Saccharomyces cerevisiae S288C: one gene and its partners. The gene in region 2 interacts genetically with the main gene of each other region. Each region holds a gene or a part of one and is shown on either strand. Other genes may lie near its edges. The genes, in order: LAT1, ACH1, CEM1 and OAR1.

The links.
Region 1: mutations in ACH1 (region 2) and LAT1 together harm fitness more than expected from each alone (negative genetic interaction), as found in Saccharomyces cerevisiae (4 studies listed by BioGRID).
Region 3: mutations in ACH1 (region 2) and CEM1 together harm fitness more than expected from each alone (negative genetic interaction), as found in Saccharomyces cerevisiae (3 studies listed by BioGRID).
Region 4: mutations in ACH1 (region 2) and OAR1 together harm fitness more than expected from each alone (negative genetic interaction), as found in Saccharomyces cerevisiae (3 studies listed by BioGRID).

What each region holds. Positions count from the first base shown.
Region 1 is NC_001146.8:489,966-493,471, reverse strand, and holds LAT1 (dihydrolipoyllysine-residue acetyltransferase), read right to left. Parts: upstream 1,950-3,506; coding exon 501-1,949; downstream 1-500. Other genes in the region: TOM7 (Tom7p), read right to left, coding at 1-106; ribonuclease H2 catalytic subunit RNH201, read right to left, coding at 2,232-3,155; lysine--tRNA ligase MSK1, read right to left, coding at 3,356-3,506. UniProt on the Saccharomyces cerevisiae protein: The pyruvate dehydrogenase complex catalyzes the overall conversion of pyruvate to acetyl-CoA and CO(2).
Region 2 is NC_001134.8:189,484-198,023, reverse strand, and holds ACH1 (acetyl-CoA hydrolase), read right to left. Parts: upstream 3,903-8,540; coding exon 2,322-3,902; downstream 1-2,321. Other genes in the region: mitogen-activated serine/threonine-protein kinase FUS3, read right to left, coding at 4,512-5,573; PEP1 (type I sorting receptor), read left to right, coding at 6,441-8,540. UniProt on the Saccharomyces cerevisiae protein: Presumably involved in regulating the intracellular acetyl-CoA pool for fatty acid and cholesterol synthesis and fatty acid oxidation. It may be involved in overall regulation of acetylation during melatonin synthesis.
Region 3 is NC_001137.3:274,967-283,687, forward strand, and holds CEM1 (fatty acid synthase CEM1), read right to left. Parts: upstream 4,661-8,721; coding exon 3,332-4,660; downstream 1-3,331. Other genes in the region: FCY21 (purine-cytosine permease), read left to right, coding at 1-1,187; FCY22 (purine-cytosine permease), read left to right, coding at 1,606-3,198; glycerol-1-phosphatase GPP2, read right to left, coding at 4,964-5,716; THO1 (Tho1p), read left to right, coding at 6,744-7,400; VHR2 (Vhr2p), read right to left, coding at 7,739-8,721. UniProt on the Saccharomyces cerevisiae protein: Possibly involved in the synthesis of a specialized molecule, probably related to a fatty acid, which is essential for mitochondrial respiration. Is essential for oxygen uptake and the presence of cytochromes A and B.
Region 4 is NC_001143.9:332,168-340,283, forward strand, and holds OAR1 (3-oxoacyl-[acyl-carrier-protein] reductase (NADPH)), read right to left. Parts: upstream 3,991-8,116; coding exon 3,154-3,990; downstream 1-3,153. Other genes in the region: NUP120 (Nup120p), read right to left, coding at 1-1,802; TMA19 (Tma19p), read right to left, coding at 2,245-2,748; DNA damage-responsive RNA polymerase-degradation factor DEF1, read right to left, coding at 4,370-6,586; MDM35 (Mdm35p), read right to left, coding at 7,015-7,275; ASK1 (Ask1p), read right to left, coding at 7,501-8,116. UniProt on the Saccharomyces cerevisiae protein: Involved in biosynthesis of fatty acids in mitochondria.

The DNA of each region.
Region 1 (3,506 bases), on a different chromosome or scaffold from region 2:
CAAATGGGATCCAGCCATAATGTGCTACATTATGAGTCAAAGTTAAAATTTTGGAAATACGTTCTTTAGATTCATCGCTTAAGATAAAAGATGGTAGGAAACTCATGGTTTATTTGTTAAAAGCTAATTTTGGCAAATATTGAGAGATAAGAGGGAACTAGTTTCTTTCACCGAACAATAATATACGAAAGTAGTATGCTAAACTTTATGCGTTATATCCTATATCCCACTCCTTTGTTAATTTCAACCAATTCCACATGAGGTGAAAAAACAAAGATGTTGACGCACCGTTTGACGTGATTTATTTATATCATTTTGAGACAGAAGAGAGAGAGGATTTAGATTCGAAGACAAGCGAAGTATTTCAGTATAATGTATACGTATTTGAGTATTTGAGTATTTTTTTTTTTTTTTTTTTAATTTTTTATATATACAAAATAACAAATTGATATTTTCTCCAAGATACGCATTTACTGGCGAATTTTATTTTCATTCTAACCTCACAATAGCATTTCCAAAGGATTTTCAATAACAGTTTTCAATTCCTTCATGAATTCTGCACCTTTGGCGCCATCAATGGTTCTATGATCAAAGGTCCCTGTTATGGTAACCTGGTTATCAAAGGAGAATCCGTTCTCAGCAGCGGCGTCTTCCACAGCGACCCTTTCAACAGTAGCGATGGCCAAGATTGTAGACTGTGGTGGGTTGATAATCGAAGTAAACATGTTAACAGCATTATTCATGCCCATATTGGATATGCAAATGGTCCCACCTTGGAATTCCTCTGGTGCCAATTTGTTTATTCTGGCACGCTTGACTAGTTCCTTGATTTCGTTAGAGATTTGCGACAAGCCCTTGGCCTCACAATTCTTGACAATTGGTGTCAATAATCCTGTTGGTGTGGCAACAGCGACTGAGACATCGACATTCTTGAATTTACGGATAACGTTCTCATTAGGTAACCAGTAGGCATTGGCATCTGGCACCCTCTTAGCCGCAACAGTGATGGCTTTTACTAATAGGTCATTAATGGACAGTTTGTACTTGTCGTTTGCTGTAGCGTTCAAGGACTGTCTCAATTTCAAAAGTTTGGAGATGGATATCTTGGAGGAAACGATGTATGATGGAATGCCTTGAGTAGATTGCAATAAACGTTCTCCAATGATGCTTCTCATGGTTGAAATTGGAACATCCTCATATGATGCTGTAGAAGAAGGCGATGGAGCAGAGCCAGCAGTAGTGCTTGAGGTAGCGGCGGCAGGAGTGGCGGCGGCAGCACCACTGGTTTGAGAAGACTGCTTAGACGACTTTTCTAGATATGACTCAATGTCAGCCTTGGTAATTCTACCGCGGGGTCCAGTGCCGTGAACATCCTTCAAAGAAATACCCTTTTCCAAGGCGATAGTCTTGGCAAGTGGAGAGGCAAAAATCCTACCTTGAGGAGCAGCAACGTCAGATTTCTTAGCTTCAGGTGCAGAAGTCTTGGTCTCTTCAGCTGGCGCTTCTTGTTTCTTTTCTGCCTGTGGTTCGGCAGGCTGAGCCTTCGTACTGGTCTTTGAATCAGAACCTGAATCCTCCAGCTTAAAGTCCTTAAAAGCTGGCACATCAGCTTTGTCCTCCACATAGACGGCAATAGGCTTGTTGACAGGAATGTCCTTTGTACCTTCAGGAACTAGAATCTTGGCTAAGTAACCATCTTCTTGGAACTCAAAGTCCATTTGAGCCTTGTCTGTTTCTATTTCGGCAATAACTTCACCGGGAGACAATTGGTCACCTTCCTTCTTAGTCCAAGCAGCAAGATTACCTTGCGTCATCGTAGGAGACAGTGCCGGCATACCAATAATGGTGTGCTCTGGGTACGATGCGTAGCATCTCAATTGCAGTCTCAATGATCTGGTGAGTACTGAACTTCTGGATATTCTTGGAACCACCCTGACAAAGGCAGACATAGTACGCTAATAACTATTAATTTTACTGGATGCAGTTTACAGCAATGGAAGATGTTGAGCGTGAACAAACAGGAAACGTAACAGCCTCTCTTCTAGTCGTTCCGGTTGGTTGTCTCGACCTCTTGTTGTTCTTTGCGTAACACGGGGGGTGAGAAGGGCCGGTCACGCTTCACGGATAGTAGAAACGGCAAAGCATAGTAGCAGATGACTTGTATGAGTTATTGAAGTTATGACATATGTAGTATTACATGAAGATATATAGTATGTGCAAACTGGAGGTGATCACCGGTACCAATTATCTAGGGTTCTCAGCCTCTTCCTTCTAACAGGCTTAGCGACCATCTGGAGCTGCAATTGCTTGGTTTTTTGTGCGGCGTTCTTCCTGCTGTCCATATATTGTTCTTCCCACTTGATAGGGATACTATTCTTACTGGCGTCATCTAACAGAGTCTGGCATGTCTGCCATGAGAATCTTACCATGTTGGCGGGCCAGCCCATAAGACTTGTCTGGTTGCGCTTCAGCCATGCGACTGTCTTCGGGTCGGAGGGGTATCCAGAACCCAGGATCTCATCGGGATCCCTCTTCAAGGATTCGACTAGTATATCTCTGGTCACTTTTGCAACGACACTCGCCACACTGACCATGCAGTAGAGCGAGTCTGCCTTCTTGGCGACCGTAAACTTGACACCAGGAAATCGTTGCTCCAGTTTCTTCTGATAGGACGCTGGTGGTCCAACAGTATCCACATACACGTGACTGAGCTTCACGTTCTGCTTTATCACGCCATCAATGAGTGCCATTGTGACATCGTGCGCCTGCTCATTCAAGTTATAGTTTCTCGTCGGTGGGAACTTGCTCATTCCTCTAGAGATATCCAACGGAGTGATGCACGTAGTTGCGTAGCCGATCTGGGTTAGTTCTTCGTTGTCCTGGTATATCTTGGAAAACAGCATTCTTCTGATGGGATCTGTAAGTTTTTTAGAGTCGTCAAACTCGTAGTTAGGGATTATAGTTTCGTCCTGATATTTCTGTGTAGAATAGGCTACTGCGTAGACCATTGGCCCTAATACGGGCCCTCTGCCAGCTTCATCGATACCCATTATTATTGGAGAGTCATTCTGTTCCAAGAGCGCGCTTGGGACAGGTGAAAAGTACGACTTAGTGTAAGGAGACTCCAAGGATGCTTCTACCGTGGGGGGTACCATTTAATCGTATCAATTTGGTGTGCAGTAGTTGTTTTCAAGGTTTTTCGACACTCTCATTAGCTATAACTGAATATTTATATTGGATTTTTCGCGTAGCGTAGTTTATTGGTGTAGAGAAAAAAAAAAAATTAAATGCCATTCTAATTATTTACAGTATATGTCTGATTTATTTACAAAAGCATTGGCAGGCGTCGCAAAATTTACTGCCTGTTTACATCATCCACACAGCCAAAGGGCAGAACCTCTTCTATCCTCTTCTTGTCGCAAAATAGCATGCACAATCTATCTATGCCAAGGCCAAAGCCACCTACTGGAGGCATACCGTATTTCATCGTCTCAACATACTGGTAG
Region 2 (8,540 bases):
TGTCTTGACAATCCTAATATGAACAGTCTTAGGGAAGTAACCAGTTGTCAAAACGGTTTATCAGATTAATTCACGGAATGTTACTTATCTTATATATTATATAAAATATGAATCATACTAAGTGGTGGAAGCGCGGAATCTCGGATCTAAACTAATTGTTCAGGCATTTATACTTTTGGGTAGTTCAGCTAGGGAAGGCCGGGTTTTATCTCATGTTGTTCGTTTTGTTATAAGGTTGTTTCATATGTGTTTTATGAACGTTCAGGATGACGTATTGTCATACTGACGTATCTCATTTTGAGATACAACACTTCCAAGAAATAAGCGCAAGTGGTTTAGTGGTAAAATCCAACGTTGCCATCGTTGGGCCCCCGGTTCGATTCCGGGCTTGCGCAATTCTTTTTGATTTTTATTTTTATATAAAAAATAAACGACGTTATTTGAATTGCAAAAAAATGGTCTCTAGCGGGATCGAACCGCTGATCCCCGCGTTATTAGCACGGTGCCTTAACCAACTGGGCCAAGAGACCTTGATTACTGGTTAACGTGCTTGAAGAAGAAAAACATCAGGGACAGATGAAAACCTTCATTTACTTAGCATGCATTTTTTTAATCTCCTTTTTCGTTGTAGATATTGTTGAATAAGGATCAATTATATGATATTGATTAGTAGCAACAGTTTTACCATTTTTTAGACAGAATCTGTTGAAGGAATAATCAACGATCATCTATCGATTAGTATCATACACAGTGTAAGAATGACATGGAGTTGAGAAACAGTCATCAAAAGTAATGAAAGCTGAGATGTGATAATTGCTGATTCAATAGGATAATAAACGACTACATGTAAAGCCAAAGAAAAAATAGTATTATCATATAAAATTGCCGGTTCTCTTGTGGAAGTCTTACATCCTTGAGAAGAACTTAGGGTATAATTTACACACCTATATTATTGTCTTTTACGTAAACAGGATCTAAAAAATAATCTTAAAATATGTCTATTTCCCAAATATTAATGAAGTATACAGTAAAATATACGTACATTCACAGAAAAAAAAATGCCTCCATACTATGGAAAAACAGCGTATTGCTCAGTGATTGTAATAACAAAATTTTTGACCTTGAACCAACTTGTCAATAACGATTATTAGAGTTATCAGAACGAGCAAATACGAGCGATGTAAGGATAAATGGTAAAAATGGATACATGGCGTAGCTAGGGATGGCGATGATGAAAAATAAAACAACTAAAAGATGTAAAGCAAATATGAAGTTTATGCTGCCCATGACTGTATTGTGAATTTGTTTGCTGTTGAGATTGTTGTCGTTATTTTCATGCCATTCATTTTATTATGGTCCTAATATTATACACGCTGCTATATATAAGTTACGTATCATAGCGGCACAATCTGTTGAACATTTCTGGCGGCCTGTTGAACCTTCAAATGGGCGAGCTGTTGAACAGTTTTGGCCAACCTGCACCCAGGGCTATTACATACACAACAATTTGCAGTGTCGACTTATCTATCTGCCCTCTTGCTGTCCACATGTGTTGAGTGTCATGTGTAGATTTTTACTTTTTCTACTTCTGTTATCTTTCCAAACTTTGTCTATTAAACCACTCAATTGAACTAATTTCTTTGATGAGCCGTTTTTTTTTTCTTAGTCCTCTGGATCAAACCAAATTGCTTACCAATCCTTCCACCACTGATAGATAACACACATCCGGTTGTTGTTGATAAGTGTATTATGCTAATCGGCGTCCCTTAAATTCAATGGTGAGAAGAAAAAAGCGATGATCCTTGCCTTCAAGCGCGCGCAAACAATAACCACTTATTAGCTTGAAGCTAAATTGCGGAGAAGGCTGTTCACAAACATGGATTCCAATATTAATTCCATAATAGGAGAAAAAAAATCATTGTAAGGTATACATGCATCATTACAGATAAGTTGGGCGGTTCAGAGCTTGGTTTTGTATTACCCTGGCATTTTTACATTGACCTAAGCAAGAGAACTACCCTGACGTCATCAGCGAAATTCGTTGAAATTAATATAAGGGTTGATGACTTTCAACCTCTTAGTTTTTTTTACTAATCACTACTTAATACATAATTATTGTGTAAACATATAAATATACAGTACTACCTGTGAATTAACTAGACGTCATGCGTATTGATTAACTCCCTCCATGAGCGCAAAAAGTATAAATATGCAAGAAAAAACAACGCATTGGATAAAAGCTTTATAAACATAAAATCATAATCATATCATTTCCTTTCTTTTTTTTGTTAAATACTCATCTCTCGGTTTGCGCACAAACACTAGTCAACTGGTTCCCAGCTGTCGACCTTCATTGTACCCTTTTCAGCTAAGTTGGTGTGGAACTTGAAAGCATTCTTTAGCATGTGTGGTTCATGCAAGCAATTGTGCTTTTTAGCGTAATGCTCTGCTCTGTCCAAGTAATCGGTCAACAAAGCTTGATAATCGGGATGAGCACACTTGTTGATGATTTCACGGGCTCTTTCCTTAGGCGATAGACCTCTTAGATCCGCCAAACCTTGGTCAGTGACCAAGATGTCCAGGTCATGCTCAGTTTGATCTACATGAGAGGCCATAGGAACAATGGTAGAGATACCGGTAGGGTCTACTTTAGTTGGTCTTGCAGAGGGGGCATGCATGATGGACAACTTTGCATTTCTCAAGAAATCAGCAGATCCACCCAACCCGTTCAACATACGGGAACCATTCACATTTGTAGAATTGGCGTGCGCGTAAATGTCAACTTCTACTGGGGTATTCATGGCGATGACACCCAATCTACGGATCATTTCCGGATTGTTCGAGACAACTTGAGATCTCAAACACAATCTGTGTTTGAAATTTTCCCAGTTTGCAAAGGCTCTGTCGAAACCCTTTTCAGTCAATCTCACGGAAGTAGCAGTGGCGTAGTCCAAAGATCCGTTCTCGAAAAGATCCAAGAACGAGTCCTGCAGCACTTCCGTCCATACAGTCAAGTGCTTGAATTGGGCGCCAGCAAGCCCTTCAATGACAGCGTTAGCAATGTTACCTATACCACTTTGTAAAGGCAGCAGGTTTTCAGGTAGCCTACCATGTTTTACCTCGTTTCTGAAAAACTCGACCAAATGACCTGCAATAGCCCTGGACATGTCGTCAGAGGGCGTATTTGGTGGGACCTGGTCCCTCATGGTGGACTCCACAATCGCAACAACCTTTTCAGGATCAACCGGGATGGAGTCAACACCACACTTGTCGTCCACTTTCAGATATGGGTATGGTTTCCTGAAAGGTGGGTTCACGGGCATGTCTATATCGTGAATACCCTCGAACGAAGGCGTAGCCGTGTTAACCTCAATAATCACTTTATCACTGACTGTAATGAATTCTGGAGAACCACCGACAGAGGGACCTGGGACGATAGACCCGTCCTCTTTAATGGCCGTTGCCTCGATTATAGTATAATCAAGGATTTTGTTGTCTTTTCTTTCCCTGGTGTAGAACCCGTATGTCAGATCCTGAGGGAACATGGACAGATGTTTATCAAAGAACTCAATTCTACCCTGGTTAATTGCCTTTGCAATGGGTTTCCCTACTTGATGAGGGGCTCTCTTAATGATCATGTCGTGTTCAGCCCAACGGTTTTCCTCTGGACCAGCAGAAGCTCCAACAAAAAGGTTGAATCTCAACTTCCCTTGTAAATTGTTCTTCTCCACGTGATCTATCAGTGCCTCCGGCACTGCCTTGGGAGTACCCACTCCTGTAAAACCGGACCACCCAAGGTACTGACCATTCTTGAACAATGGAATAAGCTCGTGAGCTTCCTTAACTTTTTTCAGATAGGGAGCATACCTAACTCTCTGCTTTAACAAATTAGAAATTGTCATTTTAGTGCAATATGTGAAAAAGAAAAAAAGAAATGTGTTGTTTGTTTTGCCGCTATTGTCTAGTAAGACGGTCTCTTGCTGCTTTGTGTGCTAATGTAAGCCCGGTGGGCACAAGACAAAAGAAGGGGTAGAACACATCTAACGTCTATATATACACAGCAACTTGATTACACATTTGCTCCAGCAAGCGCTTACCGTCCACAATACAGTGGTCATCCATACAATCACTACTTTGGTAGTTTGACGCTCCGATGGGATTGGCTGTTGCGGATGTGGTTGAGGGCGTTGTCCTCGAGGCCAATCAGCAGCGCGCATTGCCCGCCTTTGGCCCGGCGGGCCGCGCGTCGCAGGGGATGATGCTAGTCACCTATATGGATCACCCCTTGTGGTTCTTCATTTTTTTTTTCTTCAATTAACAGCCGCCGACGGCCCGTGGCGCGCGATCACGGAGTTGCGTAACTGCTCCCCTTAGCTCCATATAAGTATTGTCCTTTTATACGTCCGCGTCCTCAGCGGCTAATACGTATGTCATATGTACATATGTATATGTGTACGTATATGTATATGTATACATTGTTCTTCGGGTTGATATTTTAATGATAATGATGGCTAACTAAATATTTCGTTCCAAATGAGTTTCTTGAGGTCTTTCGTCGTTAGTGCCTCCTTGTAGTGATCAAACTCGAAGAAGCTGGGTGGGATGGGTTCGCCTTCAGGTTCGTCGTTTGGATCGTGGTATGTTTGCAAATACGGATGCTCCAGTGCCTCCTTAGCAGTAATCCTCTTCGCAGGGTCAAAAACAAGCATACGCTGTAAAAGATCTATGCCTTTCGGGTTGACTCGAGGGAACATCTTCTCCAGTGGCGCGGCAGGGTACATGGGAAGCGACTTTATGTACTCTCTAGCCCTGGGTGACTCTATACACCGCAAATCATTATCTGAGTGAGGTGTACCGATGATACCGAATATCAGTAGTAGTTGATGGCGATAATCTCTGCCAGGGAAGATTGGCCGTCTTAAGAAAAGTTCAGCGAGAATACATCCGCAGGACCACACGTCCATGGCCCTTGAGTATTTGGCAGAGGTTAACATCACCTCTGGCGCCCTGTACCAACGTGTGGCCACATACTCGGTCATGCCGCTTTGCTGACCTGTGGGCTCTGAATTGTCCGCGGCTGACTCGTCAATGATTCTTGCTAAACCGAAATCACATACTTTCAAGTCACAGTTGGAGTTTATGAGAAGGTTGGAGGGCTTTAAATCACGATGGATGACGTTCGAACCATGCAGCACTTTCACTGCTCTCAAGGTTTGGTATATAAAATATTGTATATGATCGTCACTCAGCATCTGGGTGGAGATTACACGGTGTAAATCTGTCTGCATTAGCTCTTGAATTATGTAGACCTCATTGAAGTTTTCGAACGAGTCAGGGCGTTGAATGTTGAAGATTGTTATGATATTTTCGTGCTTGAAGTGCTTCAGGATCTTTATTTCACGCAGCGTACGTAATGCGAACAAAGGCTTATCGAATGGTTCGATCTTTTTTATTGCCACGATTTCTCCCGTGGGCTTATGCGTTGCAGAACATACCACACCGTATGCACCCTCTCCCAGTAACGACTTCAACTGGAAGTCACTGGATATATTGTATACAATTCTCTTTGGCATATTATTTTCCTTTCTTTTTCTCTGCCTTATTTCCTTGTAGTTCAAACGAACTAGCTATTAGAAGAAAGAAAATGATTACAACGTATATATAGTTTCTGAGAGGCAAGAGTAAAAAGTTATGATATATTAGTATGTTGCTTTTCTGCAATTGTTTCAATGCCCTGTAAAAAACCGCATCATCTAAAATCTGAGAGAATGCAGAAACAAAAAAAAAAAAAGTAAAAATTTCGAGTAAAAGAATTTTGAGTTCCAGGGTGAAACAGATCTAAAACTCAAGAGCTTATGCATTGCTTGTAGGTACATCACATTTTACTTCAGAAAGATAAAAGAGTATGTGAAAGTAAACTGCCCTCTCCAGTTAACTCTTCCCAAACTAAAAAGTATCCGCCTGTGCGGACTACAAGCACTACCGCCCCTTGAATGAACACCAAAAGATGTGTGTAAGTTAAAAAGTCCGAACGAATTTATCCTTATGTATGTTCTTTTGAACGTCAAGTAGTCAATCTCTCCAACTACTCGGGTCTTTATATGGATCGCGTGATGTTTTAAGCCTTCTTTCCTCTAGTTTAGTGCAGTCGCTGCTTTTTTCTCGGGCTGAGTACGGCGAAAAGAAGGAAAAACCAAGGTCAAAAAATAACCTCTAAATAACAGCATGATGCAACAGCTCAAAAGACCTCTCAAGAAGCACAAAAAAAGGAGGCGAGTAGGTGGTACTATTTCATTCTACTAAGATCTTTAAAGCAATTCCTTTCCGGTTTTTTTCTCAACTACCGTACTCTTTTTCCTTTTTTATTTTGCCCTTAGATTGTATTATAAAGCTCTGTATATCTGGAAAAGCCCTGAAGTGTCCAGTAGTCATCACACGTTATGATATTACTTCATTTTGTCTATTCTCTTTGGGCCTTACTTCTCATTCCTTTAACTAATGCCGAAGAATTCACCCCCAAAGTGACAAAGACTATCGCGCAAGATTCATTTGATATATTAAGCTTTGATGATTCCAACACTTTAATTAGAAAACAAGACACCTCCGTTACTATAAGCTTTGACGATGGTGAAACATGGGAAAAAGTTGAAGGCATTGAAGGCGAAATCACTTGGATATACATCGACCCCTTCAATAGACATGACAGAGCCGTTGCAACGGCAATGAATGGGTCGTACCTTTATATAACCAATGATCAAGGTAAGTCATGGGAGCGTATAACGCTACCTGACTCCGGAGAAAGTATTTCACCTCGTGAATGCTATATAGAAACCCATCCCTTGAATAAGAACTATTTTCTTGCAAAGTGCAACTATTGTGAGAAAACAGAAGTAAACAATGACAATGAAGAGAATTCGGGGGACGAAGAGGGACAATTTGAAATATTTAATATTACACGTTGCACAGACAAGGTTTTTGCAAGTAATGATGGTGGAAAATCCTTTTCTGAGATCAAGTCTTCTCTAGAAAGGAACGAAAATAGTCCTATCAGCATTTCTGATTGTGGCTTTGCCAAGACCAGCAAAGATTCTGACCTTGAAAGTAGTGATACCTCAATAATCTGTCTTTTTCAAAATATGCAGCTTATTATGGATGAGTTTAGTTCTCCTTACACCGAAAGTAAATTGGTCCTAACTACGGACTGGGGCAAATCACTAAAAGAATTTGACCAATTTAAAGATAAGGTCGTCAATGGTTACAGGATATTGAAATCTCACATGGTTGTCTTAACCCAGGGCGACAGATATAATGATATGTCTTCCATGGATGTGTGGGTATCAAATGATCTGTCAAACTTTAAAATGGCTTACATGCCTACTCAGTTAAGGCATTCTATGCAAGGAGAAATATATGAGGACGCTATGGGAAGAATTATCTTGCCCATGAGTAGGGAAAGAAGTGATCAAGAGGAGGATAAGGGCATCGTGTCTGAAATTTTAATTTCCGACTCACAAGGGTTAAAATTTTCCCCCATCCCATGGACCGCAAATGAGGTGTTTGGTTATATTAATTTTTATCAACCTACTTACTTGAAAGGAACGATGATTGCCTCACTTTACCCTCTATCTAGGCGTCGTAACCGTAAAGGAAAAGCCAAAGGAGTAAAGAGTAAGGGGGTAACCAAAATATCTGTTGATAATGGCCTCACATGGACAATGTTAAAAGTTGTTGATCCAGATAACGCAGACTCATTCGACTGTGATATTACTGATTTTGAGAATTGTTCGCTTCAAAATATGTTTTACACACGGGAGGGTTCCACTCCAACCGCCGGAATTCTAATGACAACAGGTATTGTTGGCGATGGTAGTGTCTTCGACTGGGGAGATCAAAGAACCTTTATTTCTAGGGATGGTGGCTTAACATGGAAACTCGCCTTTGATTTTCCTTGTTTATACGCTGTTGGTGATTACGGAAATGTTATTGTGGCTATACCGTATAATGCGGATGAAGACGACGATCCTCAATCCGAATTTTATTACTCTTTAGACCAAGGTAAAACTTGGACCGAATATCAGCTAGAAACTACTATCTACCCAAATGAAGTAATGAATACAACGCCCGACGGATCTGGAGCTAAATTTATTCTAAATGGGTTTACTTTGGCGCATATGGATGGTACAACGAATTTCATCTATGCAATTGATTTTTCAACAGCCTTTAATGATAAGACATGCGAAGAAAATGATTTCGAGGATTGGAATTTAGCTGAGGGGAAGTGTGTCAATGGAGTCAAGTACAAGATCAGAAGAAGAAAACAGGACGCTCAGTGCTTGGTGAAGAAAGTTTTTGAAGACTTACAATTATTTGAGACTGCTTGTGACAAGTGTACCGAGGCTGATTACGAATGCGCGTTTGAATTTGTTAGGGACGCGACCGGGAAATGCGTACCAGACTACAACCTAATCGTTCTCTCTGACGTATGTGATAAGACAAAGAAAAAAACTGTGCCTGTAAAACCATTGCAACTAGTTAAAGGT
Region 3 (8,721 bases), on a different chromosome or scaffold from region 2:
CTTTCTTTTCTGTTTTCGGTGCAGAGCTGGGCCTAAGACAGATGATTTTGTCTAGATATTTAGTTGGCAATATCGCAGCCAGGATCTTCTCTTTCATCAATTTTATTGCCTGTATCGGTTGGGGTATCGTTAATACCGTAGCAAGCTCGCAAGTCCTGAATATGGTTAACCCCGGTCATCAATGTCCTCTCTGGGCTGGTTGTATAGTTATTATCGGTGCTACTGTAATTGTAACTTTTTTCGGCTATGGAGTCATTCATGCTTACGAGAAATGGGCGTGGGTACCAAATTTTGCCGTTTTTTTGGTAATAATTGCTCGTTTGGCAAGGTCTAAAAAATTTGTCCTTGGGGAGTGGACATCTGGTCCTACTACAGCAGGTAACGTGCTTTCATTTGGATCAACAGTTTATGGGTTTGCTGCAGGCTGGACAACATATGCGGCTGACTATACCGTTTATATGCCAAGGAAAACGAACAAGTATAAAATTTTTTTCTCGCTTGTAGTTGGGTTAGCAACACCATTATATTTTACTATGATACTTGGTGCAGCTGTAGCAATGGCAGCTATCGGCGATCCAGCCTGGAAGACGTATTATGACGAAAATTCCATAGGTGGTTTAACTTTTGCCGTTCTTGTCCCTAATTCTGTTCACGGATTCGGTCAGTTCTGTTGCGTGTTATTGTCTCTGTCCACTATCGCTAATAATGTTCCCAACATGTATACTATTGCTTTATCGGTGCAAGCCACGTGGGAACCTCTTGCGAAAGTCCCAAGAGTTATTTGGACTTTATTAGGCAATGCGGCCGCACTGGGTATTGCCATTCCTGCCTGCTACTATTTTTCTACCTTCATGAATTACTTCATGGATTCCATAGGTTATTATTTGGCTATTTATATTGCCATTGCATGTTCAGAGCATTTTATTTATAGGCGTTCCTTCAGTGCTTACAATGTTGATGATTGGGATAGTTGGGAACGTCTACCTATCGGCATTGCAGGTACTGCTGCCTTAATTGTTGGTGCCTTTGGCGTAGCGTTGGGTATGTGCCAAACTTATTGGGTTGGCGAGATCAGCCGTTTGATCGGAGACTACGGTGGTGATATTGGATTCGAGTTAGGACTAAGTTGGGCATTTATAGTTTACAACATTGCTAGACCCTTTGAGCTCAAGTACTTTGGTCGTTAACGAAAGTTCATTTAAATGTTTCGCTATTTTAGTCTTTGTAATGTAACATAAATGGCTCTAGTATGCAAATCATTAAAAAATAGCATGTATGTTAATTAAATTATCACGGCTCATTCATTTGAGTTGATAACGCAATTCTGATAAGCATATCACGTGACTGTGGTTCTAAGAGTTACTCCGATCGCCAGTAAATACTTTATGAGACGTTGCATTATTTCTGTTTAGTTGATAAATTTTGATTTCTAGTCTGTTGAAAGCCTAATGCATGCAGATGACATAAATGTAGTCTGTTTTTGCACTGGTGATTTGTAAACCAGACAAATATATAACATGATAACCAAATTGTTTGTTATAAGATACGCTTGTCAGATTGAAATGGAGGGTGTTTCAGAAGGTGACTAAAATATCGAAGAAAAGTATGCCAGAAAAGTTAGCCATGTCAATGGTCGATATAAAAGATGCGGGGAGTGAACTAAGGGACCTCGAATCTGGAGCTCTGGACACAAAATCTTCCGCCGCTGATGTATACTATGAGGGTGTAGAATTGCATAGAACCAACGAATTCATTGATAATAAGCCGTCCTTTTTCAATAGGATTGCAGCTGCTTTAAATGCTGAGACGAAAGGTATTGAACCAGTTACAGAAGATGAAAAAAATGATGACTCGATACTCAATGCCGCCACTATATGGTTTTCAGCTAATATGGTGATTGTAGCCTATTCCGTAGGTGCCTTGGGTCCTCTAGTATTTGGCCTAAATTTCGGCCAAAGTGTTTTAGTTATCATTTTTTTCAATATTTTGGGTTTGATCCCTGTTGCATTATTCTCACTTTTTGGGGTAGAACTGGGCCTAAGACAGATGATTCTATCGAGATATTTGGCTGGTAACATCACAGCAAGATTTTTCTCTCTTGTTAATGTCATTGCTTGTGTCGGTTGGTGTGTTTTAAATATTTCTGTTTCTGCTCAACTTTTGAATATGGTGAATGAAGGCTCTGGGCACAACTGTCCTATTTGGGCAGGTTGTTTGATTATTGCTGGTGGTACCGTGCTTGTGACTTTTTTTGGTTACAGTGTCGTTCATGCATACGAAAAATGGTCGTGGGTACCCAATTTTGCTGCCTTTTTGGTCATTATTGCCCAACTATCGAGATCAGGAAAATTTAAAGGTGGTGAATGGGTAGGGGGTGCAACTACTGCAGGTGGTGTTCTTTCTTTTGGTTCATCTGTTTTTGGGTCAGCTGCGGGTTGGGCGACTTATGCAGCAGATTACACTGTTTATATGCCAAAGACCACAAGTAAATACAAAATTTTTTTTTCCGTAGTAGCCGGTCTAGCGTTCCCTCTATTTTTCACCATGATTCTTGGTGCTGCTTGCGGTATGGCGGCCCTTAATGACCCAACCTGGAAGTCATATTATGATAAAAACGCCATGGGTGGTGTCATATATGCTATCCTGGTCCCTAACTCTCTAAACGGATTCGGTCAATTCTGCTGTGTTTTGTTGGCTCTTTCAACTGTTGCTAATAATGTCCCTGGAATGTACACTGTCGCTTTATCCGCTCAAGCTTTGTGGGCACCTTTGGCTAAAATACCAAGAGTAGTCTGGACAATGGCAGGTAATGCTGCCACTTTAGGTATTTCCATCCCTGCTACCTATTACTTTGACGGCTTTATGGAGAATTTTATGGATTCCATTGGTTATTATTTGGCTATTTATATTGCCATTGCATGTTCAGAGCATTTTATTTATAGGCGTTCCTTCAGTGCTTACAATATTGATGATTGGGATAATTGGGAGCATCTACCTATCGGTATCGCAGGTACTGCTGCCTTAATTGCTGGTGCCTTTGGAGTAGCGTTGGGTATGTGCCAAACTTATTGGGTTGGTGAGATCAGTCGTTTGATCGGAGAGTACGGCGGTGACATTGGGTTCGAGTTAGGCGGAAGTTGGGCGTTCATCATCTATAACATTGTAAGACCTTTAGAACTCAAATATTTCGGTCGATGACTAAATGTTAATTGATTAATATTTTTGCTAATCATTGAAATGATTGGTTTTAATGGATAAATCTCGACATTCGAATAGATAGCATATAATTCAAAAACGATTATAATGGGATATATATATAAGTTTAATAATATTAACTCCCTTCCCATTTCTTGAAGAGAAGAGATGTGTTAACTCCTCCAAATCCGAAGCTGTTGCATAATGCGTACTTCGGATTAGCTCCCACAATAGGTTTGTCTCTTATGAAATGTAGCTTATCGGCCTCGTTATTTTCTAGAGTCAGAACATTGTCCAGGTTTAAGGTATGCGGCATCTTATCATCCTTCAAGGAACAAATTGTAAATATACTTTCTACGGCGCCAGCTGCACCTAAAAGATGGCCAATTGCACCTTTGTTACTGGATATGTACAGTGGCTTGCTTTTGGATCTTCCTGGTAAGAGTGCTGAGGCTACTGCCAGACACTCTGCTTTATCGCCTAGTAAAGTTGATGTAGCATGTGCATTGACGTAGTCAACATCAGTTGGTTCTAATCTAGCCATTTTTAGAGCCATCTCTATTGCTCTTTTGGCACCATTTCCATCAGCAGGAGGGGAGGTAATATGGCAGGCATCACTGCTTAAACCATAGCCCACGAGCTCAGAAATTATGTTTGCATTTCTCTTTTGAGCATGTTCTAGCGATTCCATGACAATCATTCCGCATCCTTCACCAAGTACGAATCCAGAACGTTGTGTATCAAAGGGTCTAGAGATCCCGTTTGTAGTAATCGACTTTGCTCTGATGAAACCTGCTAAACTTAACGGATGCAAACTCGTTTCACTTGCACCGGCGACACAGATGTCTTGCATGCCTAACCGAATAAAATTGAATGCATCGCCAATGGAGTTATTACCTGTTGCGCATGCTGTGGAAACACTATGGGATAATCCTCTAAGGTTAAACTTGATGGAAACATTACCAGCTGCCATATTTGTAAGGATTTTAGGGACGAAATATGGATTTATTCTTTTATTGTCGTTATGGAATTGTAGAGAAGTTTGGTATATGTCTTGAATGGATCCTATACCAGAACCTATCAGGCAACCAAAGTGATCCAGATTGCACAGAGATGTATTGATGGTTATATCATTTGGGTTCAAGAGACCAGCATTGTGAAGCGCTTCATAAGTTGTACGTAGTGCTAGCTTGATAAAGCTTGAGGTTCTTCTCTCATCCTGGCTAGTGAACAGCAGTTTATTGATGGCTGAATTTTCGTTTTGAAAATTCTCTGGAATCTTCCCCACTGTTATCGTTGATGGGATACTTTTTTCTCTGAGTTTGTAGTCCTCATTATAGTTGGGCAAAGATGTGATTGGTGTGAGTCCATTTTTGGAAGAGAGCAGATTCCCCCATGACTCACTTAATGATCTTCCCAACGGCGTTACACAGCCCAATCCTGTGATAACCACTCTTCTTGACATTTCTTTACTAGAAATTAAATTTTAATCCGTTGTGGCTCCTGTCACTTTCAAGTTGCTAATAACCTGATAACGTTTAAGGATTTTACTTCCTTTTTTATCATTTATTTTTCTGAGATGAGACAGAGTCAGAAATAATAGCACACTATATGTTTTAAAAAAAAAAATCTATCTACGTATTTATTTAATCAATAAGATGTGATTTTATAAATGTGTCGTTTTTTAGCATCATTACTTGTTTTGTGGCGAATATAGAATAGGACTGTATCTGAGAATTATTACTCAAATATGTTCGATTTTAGAGGATTACCATTTCAACAGATCGTCCTTAGCATATAAGTAGTCGTCAAAAATGAATTCAACTTCGTCTGTTTCGGCATTGTAGCCGCCAACTCTGATGGATTCGTGGTTTTTGACAATGATGTCACAGCCTTTTTCCTTTAGGAAGTCCAAGTCGAAAGTAGTGGCAATACCAATGATCTTACAACCGGCGGCTTTTCCGGCGGCAATACCTGCTGGAGCGTCTTCAAATACTACTACCTTAGATTTGGAAGGGTCTTGCTCATTGATCGGATATCCTAAGCCATTCCTGCCCTTCAGATATGGTTCTGGATGAGGCTTACCCTGTTTGACATCATTAGCGGTAATGAAGTACTTTGGTCTCCTGATTCCCAGATGCTCGAACCATTTTTGTGCCATATCACGGGTACCGGAAGTTGCCACAGCCCATTTCTCTTTTGGTAGAGCGTTCAAAGCGTTGCACAGCTTAACTGCACCTGGGACTTCAATGGATTTTTCACCGTACTTGACCGGAATTTCAGCTTCTAATTTGTTAACATACTCTTCATTGGCAAAGTCTGGAGCGAACTTAGCAATGGCATCAAACGTTCTCCAACCATGCGAGACTTGGATAACGTGTTCAGCATCGAAATAAGGTTTGTCCTTACCGAAATCCCTCCAGAATGCAGCAATGGCTGGTTGAGAGATGATAATGGTACCGTCGACGTCGAACAAAGCGGCGTTAACTTTCAAAGATAGAGGTTTAGTAGTCAATCCCATTCCGAATATTGTTTTTATTGTTTTATGTTTTTCCACTGATCTGGTAAACACTAGCTGGTTGGCGCTATTAATATGAAAAGAGTTAGACCAAATTGAGTAGAAAAGAAACCTTTGGCAATCCTAACTATGTTGTTTTAGCTTGTGTATTTAAGCGCATATATATATATTTCTGAAAATGACAACATCAAAAGAAACGAACTTATTTAGAATAAAAAGAAACGACTTGGCTTCTTATTATTCCTACTTTACGTCACGTGGGAGGCCCGTTTAGGGGGGCAGCTATGTAGTTTTTCCGAGCGTACTTTCTTTCAGCATCCGAAAAGTCCTCACTTGACGGCTTACACGGAAACGCCGCGGATTGTGGGGCACAGATGATGACGCAGACGGAACACTGCAGAAATCTTTTTACCTTGTCGTTAAAGACGATATTAGAGAGAAGAGTTTGGCTGGGGACAAAGTGCCAGCTTTTCGTTCAGGGCGAGGTGCCAAAATACTTGAGAAGGCCAAACCCCAAAGGACAGGGCCAAATACGTACGCTACGGTAATATCTAATGGGAGAGGGTATAACATTGACCATTTTCGAAGGAGGCATAGGAATTTAGACGCTGATGGATGTTATCAATATTGAAGTTTTTCACCGTTTCCCTCTTTCTCTGCTCCTTTAAAGAACGCAAAGTCTCCTCTTGAGAGAAAGCAGACGATTGGAATTGGTATCTTTCACGTAGCATTGCTTAACCTACGGCCATATTAATGATATGAAGTCATATGAAAATGGCCGAGGCCAGCGGTTCATTCGAGGATATATATTTTATTACCCGGCGTCTCTAGCCGAAGTAAGAAAACACAATGCAACCAGCGTTGGTGGAAGGGCGTGATAATGCTGAATGGGAGAAGAAAGTTGAATAGTGACTCTTCAAATGTGTCCTTTCAGGATGCGCTACTTTCAGAAGTTACAAAGATATCTGTATATTGAATAGAATTTTTTTCACCACTAGAATTGTTCTTGGAGCCAGCACAAGCACTTACAATGGCAGATTATTCTTCCCTTACTGTTGTTCAATTGAAAGATTTACTGACCAAGAGAAATCTGTCTGTAGGCGGATTGAAGAATGAACTAGTTCAAAGACTGATAAAGGACGATGAAGAATCAAAGGGTGAAAGTGAAGTTTCTCCACAGGAACAAAACCAGGAACAAGGGTCAGAACCTGCGGCGATAGAAGAACCAGCCTCCCAGAACATTACTGAAAAAAAGGAAGTTTCAAGCGAGCCTAAAGAAACAAACGAACCCAAGGAGGAAAATAAGGACGTTCAAAAGCCCTCTGATGGACCTTCTGCTACTGCTTCAGAGAACGAACAAGCTGCTGCTTCCACTGCTGCTCCCGCTTTGTCACCAGAAGAAATTAAGGCCAAAGCATTGGATCTTTTAAATAAGAAACTGCACCGCGCTAACAAATTCGGTCAAGATCAAGCGGATATTGACTCTTTACAAAGACAGATAAATCGTGTGGAGAAGTTTGGTGTTGACTTGAATAGCAAGTTGGCTGAAGAACTGGGCCTTGTCAGTAGGAAAAATGAACCTGAAAGTGGCAATAACGGTAAATTTAAAAATAGAAACAAAAATGCAAACAACCGCTCCAGAGTAAGTAAAAACAGGAGAGGCAACCGCTCTGGTTACAGAAGATAAAGGCTCAAGCCGTTTTGGTGGAGTTTTTCATTCTAGTTTCGGTTCTTTCCCACTTTTTAAACGACCGCAGTTGTTTGTATATGAAGGTGCAAAATTTGTTGCATACGTAAACATGTGTAGATTATTCTAAATAAATCTGTGTTATTAAATCCGAAGAGTCGGCGGTTCACTGTATTACACATACAGTGGCTGTCAACGTTGTAAAGTGCTAGTAGAGAATGAGCGGCGAGATTTACAGACTGAACATTCTTGTACAAGTTACAATGATGATAGAGGAAAAATAAGCTATGATAAATAGTTCATAGTAATGCAGGTGGGGATGATGCAAGCGGGCCTATTTATTTTGAAATAGTACTGAATGGTTTGGAAAAGGTGGAATTTTCAATCTGCAACGATATCGCGCTCAACATCTTTAACCTGTCATCATCGTACGTATTTGGGACTTCAATTGAAGGCAATGTAATGATAGTGCTATCTGCCGATGTGCTTGACCTCGTCACTCGAGGCTCTTCTTTACCGGGAGTGCTTGCATCTTTCGTTGAAGAATGTGCACTCAAGACCTCAGATGTGGAGTGTGGCCTCATTGGATTGGACTGTTTATTACTACAAACCAAGGGATATTGATGGAGTGTCATGTGATAGATAATTTCGTTGATTGGTGCCAAAGATGCATCAAACCCATAATCTTTGACAAGAGATCCCAGTATGAGATTCAGCACTCTCACCTGAATTTTTTCTTGTGATAGGTCAGCGAATAGTTGACGTGTAGCGGGCATAAATAGCCTTTGCGATAGAATAGTCAAAAATTCGATTGATGACAGCCGTTCAGTAAGATATTGCTTAGTAGAAGACGGTAAATGTGAAAAGCTGTTTTCTACCACAAGGGAAATGGAAGCCATTAGTGAATTTTTGCCCAGCGTTTCTAGATTAGCAAAAGAATCCAAATTTCTTTCATCCTTAGACATCTCCAAGCACGTCCTTGAGTTATGTATCTTTGACAGGATGAGTTTTCTCAAGTTGTTGGATATTACAACTTTGCTTTGGCACCCTTTTTTTTTCGTTAAATTTGGTCTAATGAACTTATCTCTTTGAATTTGTTCAGGTAGTGGAATAGCATTATTTACAATTTCAACAATTATTGATTTGGCAATAAAGTCGTATTCTTGTTCACTTTCTAGAGGCTGATCTTCTATATCAAACTTTTGTAATTTTTCATCGCCGCCGTGCGCATACGGTGCCGATGGATCACGAAGAAGAGATGCGTTCTTCTTAAGTAAAGAGCGAACTTGAGTTGGTACAGGTGGAAGAGTGCGGCCATTCG
Region 4 (8,116 bases), on a different chromosome or scaffold from region 2:
AAATCCTTTTTCCAAAATATACCAGGCTTCATTTGGTTATTGATTAAATCATTTAAAACAACGGGTATATCAAAAGAGTTTAATTCGTCGAAAAGAATCTTTAGATTTGTGATTTCAAATTGATTTTCTAGGCAATTTTTGAAAATGTCCGTAAATTTTTCTACGGTAGTCATAGAATCAGGCAGCTCTCCTGTTATTATATCAAGAAACTTCTTAGAAATGGATCTAAGAACATCATTTGACAAAGTAGAAGCAAAACCATTCAATGTCCTTAAATACTTGAACAATTCAGAACCATCAGTTTCAGAGTGCATATTATAAAACCAATTCTCCACAGTAGTATTCAGCTTGTAAAGGGAATGATTATACGGTTGGAAACAATTGACGAGAATAATTTCATCGCCATAAAGTGTTATAGAAGAAGCCTCGTTGAATGCGGTTTTTACGTCTCTCAATATTGTTTCTAAATTAGCCAAATATTCTTCATCTTCGTTATGAGCCATAATAATCTTATTTTCACTCAATATTTGCTGTGCACGTTCAAAAATTTGGGTACCATATCTTGATTTCAAATTACAGAAACCCCTCTCAACATCTCCAGTCTTTGTAACGATATCCAAATCATGTTCGGATTGCAAATCTACTAAGGATTTGTTAACTGATTCTATCCATTCATAGTTTTTGAAACTTTCATCATTTACGTTTAGTATCTGTAACTTGCTAGCAGTGCCACTTTTCCATAAAACGATCAAATTTAAATAACTAGCCTCGACATTCAACTCCAATGGTCTCGTTAGAACTAAATCTACAATTGACCAAATAGCAGAAGCTGAAAGATTAGTGGGGATGTTATTTTGAAAAGTATAAGTCAAAATACCGCTTGAATCAACCAACAAGGTGCCCATTTGAAAAAGCCCATTTTCCAAAGGCAACAATGTAACTAGAGTATTGTTATACAAGGAAAGGTATTCCCCTACAGCTTCCACTTTTCTAAAATGGCTTGGGTCTGAATCTGACTGTGAAACCATATCATAATCTTGTATTAAAGTAAATGAAGTTAAATCCCAAATTTTCAAGTGGCAATTCTGAGTCAACACAATTAAGTATCTTTCATGGAATAATTTACAACTAATCACACTATCGTAATCCGATTTAGAACTCCTAGAAAAAAATCGCGTTAGGCTTTTCAAGTATGAATTATCATTGAATAGTAAAGGCTCGTAATGTACGCCGTCAACTTTTTTTAAACCCAACAAACCGCCATCTTCCAAAAAAACAACTGAGAACTGGGGTGATACATAGAAAAGGAAATGAGGAACTCTAACTGTAAAGTCGTAGGGATTTTGGAGATGAAACCACTCTCCATTGAGAGTGTTGGCCGATGAAAATAGGAAACTTAGGGGTAGTTGTAACGTTAAAAACGAACCATCTTTTAAGATAACATTAACCAGTAATTGCTGTTCCACTTCTTGTATCGTTAAAGTGTATCTCTGATTCATAGAAGCATTTGGTAAGTGTATATTAATTGTCTTCCCATGGTATGCGTCACTCAAAGGATAAAATGTCAACAATGTTGATCTTGAGGAAAAATGGTAACAGATATACTCAGAGTTACTCAATAACAAACAATTGGAATATTCACTTCCGTAAGGCTGAGGAACTGGTGTAGAGATGGACTTATCTCCTTCTTTCAGCCCGTTATTATTACTGTTATTACTGACGTATAAATCAACCGTATTATTGGGTTCAGGTTTTTCATAATATTGGAGCAAATTTGCATCAATTCTTGAGAGGCATGCCATAATAGGTCAGTTGTGTACGAGTGAAATTGCGACCTCTTGAAAAATGCTTATGAACGTTGGATTTCGTCAATTTCTACTTGTTTCTCAGCTTCTCATGCTATTTCAATTCAATTTTTTTTTCACGTAATTGGAGAAAAAGACAGGAAAACAAAAAACATGAAAGTTCTGTAGGGTAATGGAAAAGAAAATATTGATGAACTATACATATCTACGGCAATTGATAAACGTGTCTTAATAAAATCATAGAATAATTAAAAACGTCCTAATGCGTGTTAAGAAGTAATTAGGAAGTTTAGATACCTATAGAATCAAAGAATAGAAGCTAAAAAGTTGATGCAGAGAAAAAAGAGAGAGAGGTTACATATACATTAAAAATGAGAAAGGGGAGTCCTACTCTCAAATTCAAATACAAAATACGAAAATTTTTCTAATTTCGCTAGACTTAGATCTTTTCTTCCACAATACCGTGCTTCCAGATGGCAACAAATGGAGTGGTACCATCTTCACGGTAGTTCAACATGACAACCATGGCATCTGGGTCCATGGATTCACCAGTGAAGAACTCCCAGTCCTTGAAAGAACCAATAACCTTCTTGACGTAAGTTTGAGCACCCTTTTCGAATTTAGGAACTTCTTCTGGGTTAGTTTCTTGCAACTTAGCTTTAACAGCCTTCATGTAACCCTTAATGTAGGTCAAGAAGGACTTCTTGTCAAAAGCGGTTTGTTGTAGACGGAAAGAGTGGACAACGTTGTTGACCATTTCAGCACCTTCTTCAACATCATCGTCACCACCTTCAGCAGATGGGTTAGCACCGATATCGATGTTGTCACCTCCGACATTGACCATAGCACAGTCGGCTTCGTAGATAACGTCATCAACTAACTTAGCGTCGTAAGCATCAGACAACAATTCGTCGTTAGAGAAGATATCCTTGTAAATAATCATATTTGTCTATAGTATGTTCTGTGTTAATCTGCTAACCGCAACTGAGACCCCAGAAAGAAAATTGTTAAAAAGCTAAAATGAAAGTAGTAAACCATTGAATGAAAACATTAACCAAAATAAAATTTTTTTTTAAGTCCCAATTGAAATACTTCTCCTTATAAATATCATGAAAGGAAGAAAAAAAAGTGAAAAAAAAAAAAAAAACCAATAAAAAAATAAAAAAATATCAATTCTACGAGAAATGCGTGCGAAATCGATGAGTTTTGTTTTGCCTCTGAAAAATTCTGGAAAATTTTTCTTAGCGGAAAAAAGAAAAAAAAGAAACGTGATGTGAAAATGTGTTCACTGAGCTCATCGATATACACATTGAACAGACACAAATCTATTATTTGTTTCGATTTTCTTTTACGTCTCCAAAGCAGTTCTACTGTATAGAGACCAGACTTCTTCCGCTATTTCAGCGGGTGCGCTTGTACCGCTTGCCCCAATGGTTCTCTCCAGCATTTCTTTAGCCTCCACTGGCAAATTTTGGATCATATCGGTCCCTTTGACTAAACCTGGAGATATCGTAAAACACCTAATGTTTCTTGGTTCCATTTCTGCAGCTAAAACTTCTGTAAATCTGGACAGTGCGGCTTTAGAGGCGGAGTAAACAGATGTACCTGGAACCTTCATTTTTCCGGAGTGTAGAATGGAGGAAATATTTACGATGGTGGGTCGAGCAGATTGACCACTGAGTTCCGGCCATCTCCTTTGCGACTTCATCATATACTTAATACAGATGTTTGTCATCGTCACAGGGCTCATAAAGTTAACATTCATTATGTCCTGAATTTGAGATGCAGTGGTTCTTACACTTAATGATTCTTGAGTCAAGCCTGCGCAGTTAATCAATAAGTTTACGTAGTAGCGGCGTTCATTATTTGACCATTTGTTACATGGGTCGAACAATGTGGAATATTTCTGTTTCAAGGGCGGTCTATCTTTGAAATATTCGATACCGTCATATGACTCATAGTCAAGCCAGTGAGGCCATTTCTTAAAATCAATTGCTATAGCACATTGCCGCTGATATGATAATCCCGATTGTAATTGGCCTCTATCTATCGCGGTGCGCTCTATACTTTCTTTAGTAGACCCAAGTATAATGCAACTTAAACCCTTTTGAAATAACTTTTGACATATTGCCTTGCCTATACCCCTAGTGGCACCTGTTACTATCGCAACAGGCAAATAATGCATTTCCAGACTTTTCTTCTCCCACGTCTATACCAATGTACTCATGTGTATTCCATAGTTCTCATCAGTTGCAAACAGTAACGGCGGAAATTTTGACGCTGTGATATATAAAACAGAAAAAGTGGCATTTCCAAAACCCCGCAAAATAAAGACACAGCTAGCTAGATAGATAACACAACATATATATACCTTTTATTATTTACGTACGTATATATATATATGCAAAATTTAAATGATATATGACATCATCAAAAGGATATGGAATCCTTGCCCAAACATTGAAGAAAGTAAAACATAATAGTGGTAATAAAATGTGTATTTAAATTCATTGTATTTTATTCCCCATTTCGTTTTTTATGTGGGAGGTTCTACTTCTCCCTTATTAGTAGAAACCTCTTGAATTTTTAGAATTGTAATCATAACCGTTGTAGCCATATGGTACACCTTGTTGGGCAGCAGCAGCGGCAGCGGCAGCAGCTTGTTGCTGTTGTTGTTGGAATTGATAGTATTGTTGGAACTGCATTTGTTGTTGTGGGTTAACAGGTTGGCCATTTTGCATTTGAACTTCAGGTTGGGGTTGACCTTGAGGTTGCTGTTGCTGTTGCTGTTGTGATTGCTTCTGTTGAGAGTCTTCAGAATGCTGGGCAACACCTTGATTTGGACTTTGCTGTTCCTGACCGTTTTGAGTTTGGTAATAGTTGTAATTGTTCTTTGGTAACTGGTATGGATATTGACCAGCTACACCGTATTGAGGTTGACCATATGGGAATGACTGTTGGTAAAAGTGGGCGTAGTATGGCATGAATGAGCCACCGTATGGCTGTTGTTGTTGAGGTTGGGCGTGAGCTGTAGCTGGAGAAGCGGCAGCAGCAGCGGCAGCACTAGTCAAATTAGCAGCAGCAGTGTTCGCGCCTGCTTGACCATAACCTTGTTGGAAATTATATTGGTTAGCATTACCACTAGTTTGAGCGTTGTTTTGAGCAAGTTGCTGATATTGTTGACCGTAAGCGTATCCTTGTGAATCAAACATACCTGGATAAGAATATCCAGGAAATTGGTTTTGATACATGTAGTACTGTTGGGCAGCCACGTTGTTCCCTTGTTTTTGACTTTGTGGACTTTGCTGTGATTGAGGTTGTTGTGATTGAGGTTGTGGATGCTGTTGCTGTTGCTGAGCATATTGTTGTTGTTGGGACAAATACTGTTGCTGTAACTGATGCTGTTGTTGAGCGTATTGTTGCTGCTGTTGTTGAGTATAGTAGTTTTGAGATAATTGTTCTTCTTGGGCTTGAGCTTGAGCTTGTACTGGTTGTTGTTGCTGTTGCTGTTGCTGTTGTAGTTGTTGTTGTGGTTGTTGTGGTTGCTGTGGTTGTTGTTGTTGCTGTGGTTGCTGTGGTTGCTGTGGTTGCTGTGGTTGCTGTGGTTGCTGTGGTTGTTGGGATTGTTGTTGTGGTTGAGGTACAGTATTAGCTTGATCTTCTGGAGGCTCTGAAATAACAGCACTAATTTCAACCTTTTCTTCAACAACTGTAACTTCTTCTTCTGGAGCAGCAACATTATCTTGTTCTTGTTCCAGCTCTTCCGCTGTCTGTTCCTCTTCTTTTACTTGTTCCTTTTTTTCAGCTTCTTCTTGGACTTCTTCTCCGTCCACTTCAGGGACTCTGTCTTCATTTTCTTCAGAAGGTTCAGCAGTCTCCTCCTCTTGTTCTTGTGCAGATGTTTCTTGTTCATTAACTTTTTCTTCACTAGCTTCAGACTTTTGGTCATCCTTCTTAATATCGCTTATTTCTTTCTTCAATTCAGCAACGTTTTCAAGAGGAGACTCGGTCTTTTTAACAGCCTTTGGCTTTGGTGTAGCAATTGCAGCCCACGACATTTTCTTTGGTTGTGAAGCAGATGTCCTAGAAGTTGTTTTCTTTGAAGATAAAGAAGGTTGCTCTATTTGTTTGTGTTCTTCTTTGTTATTATGCCCTTCCTGCTGTTGTTGCTCTTCTTGCTCTTTTTCTTGATTTTTCTCCTGCGCTTGTTGCCCTTGTGCTTCTAATTCTTCATTATTGTTATCATTTGAATCTTGAGGAACGTCATGTTTAGTATCTACAGAAACAGCTGCTGCCCACGATGTAGTGTTTGAAACAGGCTTGGATGGTACGTGCTTCCCCTTGTCGAGATTAACATGTTTCCCGGTTGTATGAGCTCGTGGTGTTTGTACCTTCTTCTTATTTCTGGCTTGAGTATAATTGTTACTACTGTTATGCTTTGTAGAAGTAAAAGAATTGCTATTATTAGAACTCTTATATGTAATATCATCTTCTGGATTTGGCAAATGTTGTTGAGGGACATATGAGTGTTGTTGCTCCTTTTTTTCATATTTTTCCTTCTTAGCAGGTTTCTTTACTTCATCCCATCTTGTCACTGCGCCGGAAGTAATTTTATCAATTATAGTTTCCAAATCATCATATTCTTGAACTATATCAATTAAATCATCACTCGTCCAGTCAGGGAACAATTCTGTAAGCGTATCTATTTTGGACTTTAGCGCAGGATTTAGTTTTTTACTACTATGACTATTATGATTAGACTTCCTAAATTGTGTAGACATTATATATATATGATGATGTAGATTATATTGAGAAAACGACCAAACAAAAATAAATATGTAAGTACTTTATGATGGTGATTTTTTTGGGGTAATTGGTAAGAGTTTTTCTTGTAGCTTCAAAAGATCAAATATAAAATACGAATGTTTCTGAAATTACTGTAAAAGACTTAGGAAAAGGAATGAAACGTTTATATGGGAGAGAACGAAAATTTTTCCTTTTCCCGCCACTACTTTTTGCCACCATTTCCCGTTATTTATTTGGGCGAGTGCTCACCTCCGACGGAATCACGGGTGACGGATATCCTAAAAAGGTAAAGAATTGAAACAGATCTATTAATATACGGATCACTATACATTATTATAAGTCGATATTGCAGTATTAGTATTTACATGTTGAATAATGCACATTCTGTGCTAAAATATATACTTCATTTGTCAACTTCTTTTAGTTTGCCGCCATTTTCAAACGGCGCCTCCTCCCTAGCTTCGTCTAGAGCAGGCTTAATACCTTGTTTGACGAGAGCTGCGTTGACACATGTAGTATAAGCGTACCATTGTTTTGAGCACTCGTTCTCAACGGATTTTCCCTTCAGGAATTTTTCGCTATACCATTCATTAAAACAACTATCGTATTTCGTCTTCAGGTCAGTGCATTCAGGCGCAAAACTAGCTGACATTATATTCCCCATATAAAACTGGTATTATTGTTATTGTAATTCAAGTTAAAACACAAACAGATGTTTTCTAATGACCTCTCCCGGCATATATCTGGCGCACTTAGAATAAATTTCTACATGCAAATACTCTGAATATTCTGAATGTGGCTCTCCCTATATCGAAGAAAAAATATAGCGGGCCCATTACCCTGCGTTCTGATATTCATCACTAGTAAAAATTGTATGTACTTATTTATTCTATCTATTCGTAGAAAAATGAATGATGGTCCCAGGCTTTGGTACTTCTTTCGTACTCTCTTCTTCATCGGGCCCTTCGTTGTTATCATCCGCTTGTCCCTTCGGGTGGTGGTGCCCCTGCTTCAGAGGCGAGCTCTCTATATTATTGCTGTTCTCATCGTCGTTATCGCCGTCGTTATTAATATGTTCTTCATGAGCCAGTTGCTTCCGCATTTTATTGGGCACAATCGGAGACGGTACCATGCTGGAACTAGACCCGTACTGCTGCTGCAAAAGTAGCGAAATCTTTCTTTTGCGGCTTTGTCTCTGTATTGTACTTTCATCTTGCTCATCATCAGCTCCACCATGACCCTCGCCTGTAAGGTCTGTTTGCTCCCTTGAAGGCACCGCCTCTGAACCAGTATCTTCGTCGCTAGAGTCCGGAAGTTTCAATATCTGTCCCGTGGATGTTATATTCGCTGTGTGGAAATCATCTATACTGTCGTTATTAAACATAGAATGGACATCCCGGTTGACATGTACAGCTGAATCTGCCTCGTTAGGCCCATTGTCTGTCTGGGACTGCCTACTCGCCTCTTCAGCGGATGTAGGAAATATACCAACATTATTGCTCACA